Linked DNA regions of Drosophila melanogaster. The protein of the gene in region 1 interacts with the protein of each later gene in a pairwise test. Each region holds a gene or a part of one and is shown in the gene's direction. Other genes may lie near its edges. The genes, in order: EMC5, Nepl5 and IM18.

Region 1 (2,927 bases):
GATAATTGAATCCGCCTGAAAGTGTTGGGGCAGAAAACCACTTTTGACTCATGATCCGCGCGACGGGAGCACGACTTGGGAATAAGCCAGTGACTGTGACAAAACTTCTCCGCAAGTACTTGTGAGTCATGCCCCATTGCCCAGGGGGGCAGGGGAGGGGTGGGTTGGCTGCAGGAGGGGCTGCAGTAAATGCAATTTAAATGATCATTAGGCGCATGAGTTTTATGTTGCCATTTAATGAGACGCAAATGCGGTGAGATGCCTGGGAAAGTGGCCGTTGCAGGTGAAAGGAGTGTAAAGGTTGGCGCAAATTGAAAGCCCTAAAATAGTTTTGCAAACTGATTTCTGTTTTTGAATTATCTTGTGTAATAGATATACATTTACAAACGTTTGTAATGTATACAAGTGTGTCTAGTACACTGTATTTATTTAATAATCTAGAGATGATCGTTACTTATCATAAACTATTATTATTGCAACGGATTTTGCTCAGGTGTTTTCAAAAACAATAAACAAAATGTTGGCTTCCTTTTCGCCATATTAATATAATTTATATTGCGCCTTAAAGTGGCTCTGGACAAAAGTAAATATTGCTCGGCGGCCTTCACTTACGTATTGAAGGTCTTCTGGTAGTCCTTGATCTGGTTACGGGAGAACTCGGGGAAGTCGGTGTAGACGTTGACCACTTTGTAGGTGCGACGCACCTCGATGCCCGCCTCCTGGGACTCCATGATCTCCTGGCGCCGATTGAGGATGTGCGTCAGCTCGGAGCTGTCCGTGTTGGTGGTGCTGCTGGGGCTGTCCACGCTGTCCTTGTTGGAGGCGGATGAGGCGTTCGAGGAAACGGACATTGTGTCGCTCCTTGTTGACTCGCTTTTTAGTGTGCTGGAATTTCCCTTTCTGCCCTTTTCTGCTGCCTTCTCACTCTCTCTTCCTTTTGGCACACCCACGCAAAAAGGACCGTAAAAGAGATGTCCGGATACACACACAAATGCGGCGATGCGCCAGGAAAACACACACGGACTCGTTGCACGTAAGCTTTTGTCGTGGGGAGTGGCCCTGAGTCCTTTTTTGGCTTTGAAAAAACAGTTGCAAGGTGCGTTTGAATTGCCGGTCTTTTTTTTTTTTTTTGCTGCAAATTGGCTTTCTTATTGGACAACTGGTGTTCCGCTTCGACCGCCGCGACTACCGAATCTTCTGAACGCTGAGAGACGAATGAAAGTGCGACCGTGACACGAGCGTTCAAATATACCAGCGGGCGCGGCGGCATTTTTCGAGTGACCGTGTGCTGACAAATACCAAAGTCAGCTGAATTTCGAGGCAATATATATACCTTACAATTTTTTTAATTCATTCTGTTACTAATAATGTATATAATCATTATTTAAAGCTAGCTGATGAACAGACGGTTTCAAATTTTACGAAAGTTTTTAACTTTCTTAAGCAAAATATGTAACCGAATATTTATTGTATGTTTATATAGTTATAATATAATTATATAATTAGTTTGATCACAAAATCAATCTTTGTATAATTTTAATGTTGTTCCCAATAAAATATTTAAATTTAAGATTCTTAAATATATTACGGCATATGAGGTATACAGACAACCCTAAACTATCGTCCAAAGCTCCCAGCCCTAGGTGTGCCCGCATTTTGATAGCAATTTAGCAAAATTTTGTAGAAAATTGTACCGACTGTGATTGTAATTCGTAATTGTTCAATAAAAATGGGCAGTAAACTGTTTAACAAACTCTTGCTAATTGCCGGATTTGCCAGCCTGGCACATGCTGCTTTTTCTGCTGCCCATCGTAAGTTTTCGTCACTGTTGTGGTAAATAAACTTTGGACCACTAAGTGCCGCATTTACTCCACAGATCGCACCTATTTGAGGCTGACGGAGCAGGAATGGAATAGCCTTCCATTGGACGTAGGTTTCGGTGCATTTAGGGTGCTTGCATGGTTACTCACGAAAAGTTTTCCTTTATCAATCCTTAGATTATCCTGCAGACCGTCATCAGTTTGGTGATTGTGATTTACAACATCATCGAGATCGTTGGCAACTTCAAGGAAATTCGCGCCACCGTGGACATGCAACAGAAAACTTGGGACACCTTGGGCAACTTCCCCTCGTTCTATTCCTTCAATCACCGTGGTCGTGCCTTAAATCCTGGATATACGCCCCCGGAATAAGAGACCTTTCTTTTAAGTTCTGCTATCCTTTTATTTATAGTCTCAGCAAGTTACAATATAGATAACGCTAAAGATCAACCAAACTCCGTAACCTGCATTCGAAAATTTGATGGATATTGCGGAACTCTTGCCTTGCAACAAGGACAATGCCTTGGCCTCCAGCTCATAGCTGGCTCTTAATTCCCGGCCAGGACTATTATTGCATGCCTGACTGTGACAAGTGCGACAACTGTCGAAGTGGTTACTCCTTAAGAGACATTCGTAGTATAGCTCGGGATTGGAACGACATCCTCTTACAATTTCTTTACTGTTGATGTCAAAGTACTCCAAGCAGGCCAATTCTTGATCCTCCGGCTCATTTGCTCGAGCCGGACAAGGCATAGCCGTTTGTCCCCTGGAGATCTCCTCGCAGTCCTGCACTCCCCTACACTGATGACACCAGAGGCGCTCCTCCGGAAATGATCCTTTGTTGCAGAAACTTCCTTCGCATAGTCGACAACTGGCCACATTTGCGGAAGCACAGCTGAAGTCCGATTTTTGGCAACCTCTCGCAGTGGTGGCGTTGTTAAAGGAAACAACCACACATGGTGCAGCCGGTTCATCGCATTCTTCAATGTAGATTTCGCCAGGACTTTCCCAATTTGCACAGCCTGCTCCCGCTTGATCCGTGCTGCATTGGTAGCACCGGGTGAAATCCTTACTATTACACCCAGCGCCTTCATCGCATTCATAGCA
Region 2 (4,451 bases), about 13 Mb from region 1:
CTTAAATTAACTGTGAGTTATAAGCCAGTCCTGCCCCAAAAATGTGCGCCCCATCAGTGCCGAAACTCCTTTGCTCGATTTCTAAACAGATATTTTCGGTTACCCAGCCGCATTGTCTTCACTTATCAGCCATCGTAAATTCAGTGCAATCCCTTTTGCCCGCCCTTCCCCCCCGATTCTTTTCAATTTCTTGGCCATCTCCCCGGGGAGGATTAACAACTCTCGGTTCCTTTTCTCGGCTGGCTGCCCTCCGTTGGCATTATTGAAGACAATTTGTAGAGGAAATTTATTGGGCTTGACACTTGGCCTTGCCTCGGCTGGGAATCACGAAACTATAGCCCACTCCAATGCCTGGTTGATGTCGCCTTTCTGCGACTGTATCGCCTCCTGACCACTCAATAAAATTGTCACAGGTTCATTGTTCTCATTGTCGGAGCTGCCCCTTCTATTATCGATGCGGCCATTGTTACCTTTAATTGGTAGAATGACGCCCACTTTTCGATGGGCTACACAGGCCATTGTTGTGGCAGCAGAATGAAAACCGTGTATATATAAATTAAGTTGTCTTTTCACATTCGCCATTCTTGGTGGCGTTGGGCTCTTGTCACCACCTCACAACCTCACCACCAACAAGCGGGCATTTTATTTTGTTTTATGAACTTTTGTAATCGGAATCGCTGCTGCCGAGCTGAGCTTTAATGGCCCAAACAGTGACTGGGGAGTAATTTAGCAAATTGACACAATATTGACACTTTATTGACACTACAGTGGCTCTAATTGCCGGTTGTGAGGATTGCGCATACGCCCCGTTGACGGCGGCAAGGATATGAAGAAAAACGTCGGTGAGACAAATTAAACGCGTCATTTCCTTATTAAATATCAAAATCTAATCTTGCTGTATATTAAAAAGTATTTGGGCACCAAAAATCCTGATAAAATGAACAGTACAATCTGCTTCCTTTGGAATCAAGGAACTGTCGGAGTTTCAAGTTTAAAGACCCCCCAAAATACTGGCGCCCATTTAAAAAGGGGTGTACATATACATTTGCCTATGACAGTGGCGCAATATCAAAGGGTATAAATAACACATATAGCCTAGTCACTTACTGTACAGCTTTATGTTGCCGTCCATGTCGCCCCGAGGATTTTTGGCGACGCACTTGTAGTTGCCATAATCGCTGCTCTGAACGTTGGTAATCGTGAGCCGCATGGTCGCCTTGTACGACGGATGGCCGGGAATGGTTTCGGTTCTGAAAGTGGAGAGACGGAGGCATCAGCGTGAGGCAAGTTCAATGACAGCCATTGTGCTCATTGTGGGTCAGTTCCACAACAGCCCACAATCGGGTATCAAGGCCAAGGTGAAACTGATAAGCGCGCACTTATGTCTAATCAAAATGCGACCTAGCCTACAAAGTACAGTGGCTCCAGGTACTGAAGATCCAATTTAAAGTCAAATATTATAATATCTTACGAGTGTTTAATGCTTTGAAGAATATGCCACCAAATGGGGTATAAAGTACGTTCTAGGATCATGTTCTTCGAACTTTGAACCTATTAAAGCATTTTTGTTAATTATCACCTTTGCCTGAAAATAGAAAGGTCAAGTGGTCAAGTACTGGGTGTGTATATATAGCTAGGATCCACTGCTCCTCCCACGATGATGACTGACAGGCGATGGGCCTGCTCTAGTCCGCAGTCTCCGCGATCCGGGCAAATCGTAGTCCGGCCAGTTGCAATTTGTCACAGTCGAAACCATCATGCTGAAGCTAAGCCTAGTGGCCTGGCTCATATTTTCGCTGGCTTGGCGCACCACGCCCACCGCCTGTCGCCAGACCAACGCACCCCAGAGCGTTCAGGAAATGCTGGCCGAGCAGCTGCAAAGCTACATGGATACGAAGGCGCGTCCCTGCGAGAACTTCTACCAGTACGCCTGCGGCAACTGGCAGATCCAGCAGCAGGAGCAGCACTCCCTGCGCGACAGAGATTGGACGAGGGATCGGCAGCGGTACCAGGGTCAGATGCTGCCCACCGACACCCTGGGACTGATAGACCACTCCGTGAATCGGAAGCTGGAGCTGCTGCTGCGGCGAAGGAATGAGAGCTCCTTCGAGTCGGACTCCTCGATTCTGGAGCAGATGCGACTCTACTACCGTTCGTGCAAACGCCTTAAGCCGTACAACCTCAAGAAGTACCTGCAGCTCCTGCCCCCCAGCAACTCCACGCAGTGGCCATCGGTGGGTCGGGGCTGGCGTCCGGAGCGGTTCGACTGGATAACGACCTTGGGGCGACTGCGTCTGCACGGACTGAACGGGGTGCTGCTGCGGGAGGAGGTACTGCCGCGATGGGATGACTCTCGCAACTACAGTATCTATGTGAACAAGCCGAGTCGCCAGGAGACGCAGCCCATGGGAGAAGGTGCCATGATCGAGCTGCTTCTGGACATTGGGCAGACAAAGCGAACGGCCAATGCCTTGGCTCGCCAGGTGGACGACTTCGAACGAAAATTGCACCGCCTGCAGGAGCTGGAGGACGACGAAGGACCACGAGAAATGCAGCTTGGTTACTTGGACTCGTACCTGCCACAGCTACGATGGTTATCCTTCATGCGCCAGGTACGCATTGACTCCGAGCTGGATCTGCGCTCCACATTAATCATCGAGAATATTCCGTACCTCAGGGCCCTGAGCGATCTGATGGAATCGGAGAGCCCGGACACCGTTTGCAGCTACATCATGCTCAAGTGGTTGGCCTTCCTCAAGCAACAGGGACCCGCGGACATCTCACGAGGTGAGTGCGTGGCCGCCCTCAGAAGAGCCATGCCTCTGGCCAGTAGCTGGCTGGTGGGTCAGCAGTTCTCCGATCCGGAATCCGAATCCTACGTAAGCTCACTGTTCCAGCGTTTGAAGGTGCGATTTGGCCAAATCTTGGCTGAGAACCGAATGAGACTATCGCCACCACTGGTGCACATCCTGCAGCAGAAACTGCGCGCAGTTCGACTGCAGATGGGCTTCTTTCAGACGGAGGAAATTGAGGATGTGGAGCAGTACCACGTCCGCATCGACCTGAGCGGCCACTCCTTCTATGGCAACCAGCTGGTCTTGCTGCGACAACGCGTTGAGGCGAACCACGATCTGCTTTACATAAATGTGACAAACTTCGCAAATTCCACGGGGAGCAACTTGAGTTACCTGTCGGAAAGCTGGGAGGCCAGCAACTCGTCGCCCCTGTATGTGAGACCACGCAATCTGGTCCTGGTGCCGCACGGTCTGCTCCAGCTGCCCATCTGGCATCGAAACATTAGCGCCCTGCAGCAGCACGCCGTGATGGGATTTGTCCTGGCCCACGAGCTGGCACACGGATTCGATATGTTGGGAATGGACTACGACGCCATGGGAAACATCATGGGGCCCGTGGAGGAGATCGGCGCTAGCCGTCAGTTCCGACAAGGACTCCAGTGTCTTCAGCAACAGATGGCCACCGGTTCCAAGTGGATCGACGAAAAGCTGGCCGACTTTGTGGCTCTGCGTCTAGCGTATGAGACCTTTTTCGGGGTGCGGGACAAGCGGGAGCCCAGGGATCCTCTGCTGCCGCAGTTCAGCCAGCGGCAGCTATTCTTCATCACCTTCGCCCAGTTCTTTTGCGGCCGGACGCCCGTGCTCAGTCCGCGATCTCAGTCGGAGGCTCATTTGAAGCACGCCGCGGATGAGTTGCGTGTGATGCAGACGCTGGCCAATTTTGAAGAGTTCTCTAGGGAGTTCGGGTGCGATAAGAAGGCCAAGATGCAGGCCAGCCAGCGGTGCCGCATCTGGTAATAGTTCTCTTTCCATCTCTCCCACAGGACATGGCAGGATCCAGTGATGAATAAATAAAATCTCACCTAACGAAGAGTTTTTTAAATGTGAGTGAGTAACTCGATGGGGTAGTGAACTCTTTTCAGATCCATCTAGTTTATTGTTTAATATAGTTTTATACACTAGTAGATTTCAAGCACTACTTGAATCCAGTTACCACAGTTGGCACTTTTCAGGCTGATTGCTCTTTGCTGGACAACCAAAAGCTTCGTGAAACGGCGCGAACCCATTGAGCATTTGCTGCAGACGCGTCTCGTCGTTGTCGTGACCAACGAAGTTTATTGGATCACCATCGCCGCAGAAGAACTGTGCCAGATTGAGGAAGAAGATTTGTTGCGGCGGAATGGTCGTAAAATCGGTTAGACTCATTTGCGAGCTGTTCTGGAAGTAGGTGGAATAGGCCAGATCCAGTCCAGCAATGTCTGCAATACGCTCGTCCAGATACTGTGTACTGTTCCGGTTCAGGCACTGTAAACCCGCCACAAAGCGTGGCGAACTGGATATCTGCGGTCCGATTTCGTGTATGTTCCCATATCTGTCATAATAAAGACCCACGGTGTCGACTGAGTGCATCAACTCATGGGCAAGTACGAATCCCAA
Region 3 (3,438 bases), on another chromosome or scaffold:
TCGTGAGAGCGGAGAGAGCGGATAGTTTTAAGTTGCGAAGCGTGCAAATAAATAGCTTAAATAATTTCCAACGCCTGACGACTATATATTTAATCTAATGTAAATGCTATGCTTATCTAAGCCAGATTATTTTTACGCCACGGCGAACTGCTTATCGTTAATATTTAATTGCTCATACACTTGATCAAATAAGCCACACGGTAGCCAAAAACGTCGAGCTTATGTTTATTGTCACAGCTCAGTTGCACACTGGAATTTCCAAGGGCTTATAAGGTGGCGTATACGCATGATTCCACACGAAGGGCACCATGATGGCGGCCAGGATCTGGCCAGTCAGCTGCATTAGAACCGAATTCGGACTGCCGTAGAATATGGCAGGCACCAATGTCTTGGCGGGGTTCATACTGGCTCCAGTTAGTTGAATCTGCAATAAATGCATATATAGCTATAGTATCTATAGATACAAAATCCAAAGCCTTTCAACTCACCCCTGCGAAACTGCAAGCGATCACGAGGAGACCCATGCGAATGGCGACCGAGTCGAGGAACCTTCCGTTTCGCACGTCCCACAAGGAGCACCATCCGAGCACGAGGACCGCGGTCAGCAGGCACTCGATGATGACGACCTGGTATGTGGACAGAGTGTCCATCGGTTGTACCAGGCAAATGCCTGGCTTGCTTTTGTCCACCAGCTCCTTGGGCAGCAGTTGCATTAGCAGGAAGTAACCAAGGAAAGCACCGGCCATCTGACACACCACGTACATCATCATCACTTCCAGGGCGATGTAGCCCATCAAGTAGCATGAGATCGAGATGCATGGATTCGAATGGGCTCCGGATACGAAGCCAAACACGTGCATCACCACCATCACCGTCAGGCCATAGTGAACGCTATACGATAGAGTATTTAACAATATTCTATTATAGAAATCTCACTAAGCATCACCTGGCCACCAAGAATTTGCTCTCACCACCTTGGTTCGTTGAGTCTCCCATGCAACCGAGCAAAATCAGTAGCGCAGTGGCACTGAACTCGGTGGCTCCGCGTATAAAGGTAAAGAAGTCCCAGATCATCGTGAATTATCCGTAATATGTAATGTATCACAGACAATTTAAGGAAAAAACTAACTAACTAAATGATCACTGACTAACTATGTATGTCTGAGTATTGATTCTCCTACCGAATTCGTATATTGGAAATGTTTAACAAATATATTCGCAAAGCAAGAGGGGTTAGGTTTACTTGGATCATTTGTTAGCCATTTTTGAATGTGTTTTTGCCTCACCTAGTTGGCGTGGAGAAACTTATTAACGAAAAAAGCATAAGTACACAAATTTGACGCAGAGCTTAAAGTATGTTTCGGGGGGCTTATAAGATTCTTACTTTTTTAAAGACAAGAGATACCATGTTTCTATGGTAAGTACGTCCGCAATGTGAGTTCCCTTAAATCCACAATTTCCATGCAGCAAGAGACGACCGTTTAGCGATCTTTTTGACAAAGGAGGCAGTGGCGGTATCGACACGTATCATGTTGTGAGTATCTCCTAACTAAACATTTCAATGACTCATAAAGAACGTTTACCTCCAAGAAACATTTGCAGGGGAACAAGGGAAAAGAGGCAAGGATCATGGAACTGACCGCACAAATCGAGTCACTTGAAATGCAAATCAAAGCCCTTGAGAAAAGTAAGTCGTCCGAGGCGAAGACTGCGAGGGGTAAACTTATATTAGTGCTCAAAGAGTTGAAACAAGCCCTCCGAAACATAAGAATGAATAAATAAACATAAAACTAAATGATTGCAACAACTTGTTTGTACTGGCAAGGGCGATGGTAATTTTACATTTGACATGCGTAACCAACGCGCCACCTATGGGACAGCAAGAATGCGTAGCATAGTTTTTGGCATAGCGAAGAATGAGATAACTATAAAATGTGGTTATATGCAGAATTTCAGCTCCATATCAGCAGTTTGCCAGTTTGAAGTATCTTCAACACTTTGCAATTACTTTCAAACTTTTAGAGATAATCAAAATTAGCTGTTTTCATTTTCGTAAGCATGGACATTAACCCAATAATCAGATCTATTCTCAGCCGCTTCAGAGGCTGCACCATCAGGTAGGTTGCATTCTGTGATTATACATATTCAATCATAACATTTTGATATATAGAAGTTATCTGGTTGTCCTGCCCGATCAGAGTCGCATAGAAAATCAACTAAAACTGGAGGATCTGCAAACAGTAAGTTGTTACCTTTCAAGATAGATGATACAAAAATCGAGCGCCATCTAATCAAATCCCATCGTCAGGAACGCGGAATCTTGGATCTGCAATCCCATGAGCTGGCACTCAAGCAAAAGCGCGTCGAGGCCAATCTAACCGACCTGACCCGCTGCATCCGTGGCATGGAGTTCGATGTGAAGGTGAATTCCAATCGCGAGAGGAAGGAGAGAAAATCTGATCGACGCCCCCCAGCTGATAAGAAATCACCCAAAGTCGGTGATTTCAGCGAATAGCAAAATCCCCCCGGGTGCTTCCCAATCCCAAGGGCATACGAGTGCAGCGTATAAAAACAAGCTATTGCCGGAGGTCGGCATTCAGATTCACTTGAGATTGCCAACCATGAAGCTGATCGCATTGTGCTGCCTGCTCCTTTTGGGCCTCCTGGGCTTCCTAGCTGCTCCCGGCGTCGCCTCGCCATCTCGCCACACTGGACCAGGAAACGGATCGGGATCTGGAGCTGGGTCCGGAAATCCGTTCAGGTCTCCAAGCTCACAGCAACGACCACTGTACTACGACGCTCCGATTGGGAAACCATCGAAGACTATGTACGCCTGACGTAAAGAATGAAACAATAAAGATTTGAAACGCCTAAACTAAATTAATCGCCCAGTTTCCTTATCTTACTTATGAAATGGCCTTGATACACATCTGCTTACTATTTATAAAATGCGTAATAATTATTTCTAAATTTATTGCAAATTCTAAATTTCATATCGAAGTAGTTGCTTTTGACCGTACGTCAAATATCCACATTGTACTTTCAGACTTGTAAAATGTATTTCTGCCACACTGATTTCGTTCTATCCTAAACTTAAGAAGCCATGTTTCCTGTTGCACGAATCTTAGGCTCGGCATCGTGCAACAGGCTATTTCAACCTCAGGTGCTATGTCAAGAAAGAGTTTGGTATGTAGTACTGGAAATTTATCCAAACTTTATTTGTAAATCTTCTAAATATTAGTTGGCCTTCCAATGAGTTGCACAGAAATTTACCAAGGCATAGAAACTTTTACCACGGTAGAAACATTTTCCACCCAAGGTCGAATAATAATTTAAACGAATTTCCTGCTAAGTAAGTATTTTATTATTCAAATGACCCGTAAAAATAATTTTTTTTTTACATATGATAGACGTCAATTCACTGACAAATTTTCCGAG

What was found.
Region 2: the proteins of EMC5 (region 1) and Nepl5 interact in a two-hybrid assay, tested with the Drosophila melanogaster proteins (one large-scale study listed by BioGRID).
Region 3: the proteins of EMC5 (region 1) and IM18 interact in a two-hybrid assay, tested with the Drosophila melanogaster proteins (one large-scale study listed by BioGRID).

Annotation. Positions count from the first base shown.
Region 1 is NT_033779.5:18,986,060-18,988,986, forward strand, and holds EMC5 (ER membrane protein complex subunit 5), read left to right. Parts: upstream 1-1,647; 5' UTR 1,648-1,729; coding exon 1,730-1,811; intron 1,812-1,876; coding exon 1,877-1,929; intron 1,930-1,997; coding exon 1,998-2,192; 3' UTR 2,193-2,234; downstream 2,235-2,927. Other genes in the region: Swip-1 (Swiprosin-1), read right to left, coding at 613-851; CG15170 (uncharacterized protein), read right to left, coding at 2,235-2,927.
Region 2 is NT_033779.5:6,379,541-6,383,991, forward strand, and holds Nepl5 (Neprilysin-like 5), read left to right. Parts: upstream 1-1,725; 5' UTR 1,726-1,757; coding exon 1,758-3,812; 3' UTR 3,813-3,879; downstream 3,880-4,451. Other genes in the region: DIP-epsilon (Dpr-interacting protein epsilon), read right to left, coding at 1,108-1,250; Nepl6 (Neprilysin-like 6), read right to left, coding at 4,005-4,451.
Region 3 is NT_033778.4:23,600,353-23,603,790, reverse strand, and holds IM18 (immune induced molecule 18), read left to right. Parts: upstream 1-2,017; 5' UTR 2,018-2,058; coding exon of another isoform or gene 2,059-2,117; intron 2,118-2,170; coding exon of another isoform or gene 2,171-2,240; intron 2,241-2,308; coding exon of another isoform or gene 2,309-2,515; 5' UTR 2,516-2,621; coding exon 2,622-2,837; 3' UTR 2,838-2,877; downstream 2,878-3,438. Other genes in the region: Eglp1 (entomoglyceroporin 1), read right to left, coding at 239-424, 489-891, 947-1,074; CG43209 (uncharacterized protein), read left to right, coding at 1,356-1,417, 1,468-1,534, 1,591-1,782; CG10332 (uncharacterized protein), read left to right, coding at 2,059-2,117, 2,171-2,240, 2,309-2,515; CG42559 (uncharacterized protein), read left to right, coding at 3,104-3,186, 3,242-3,352, 3,411-3,438.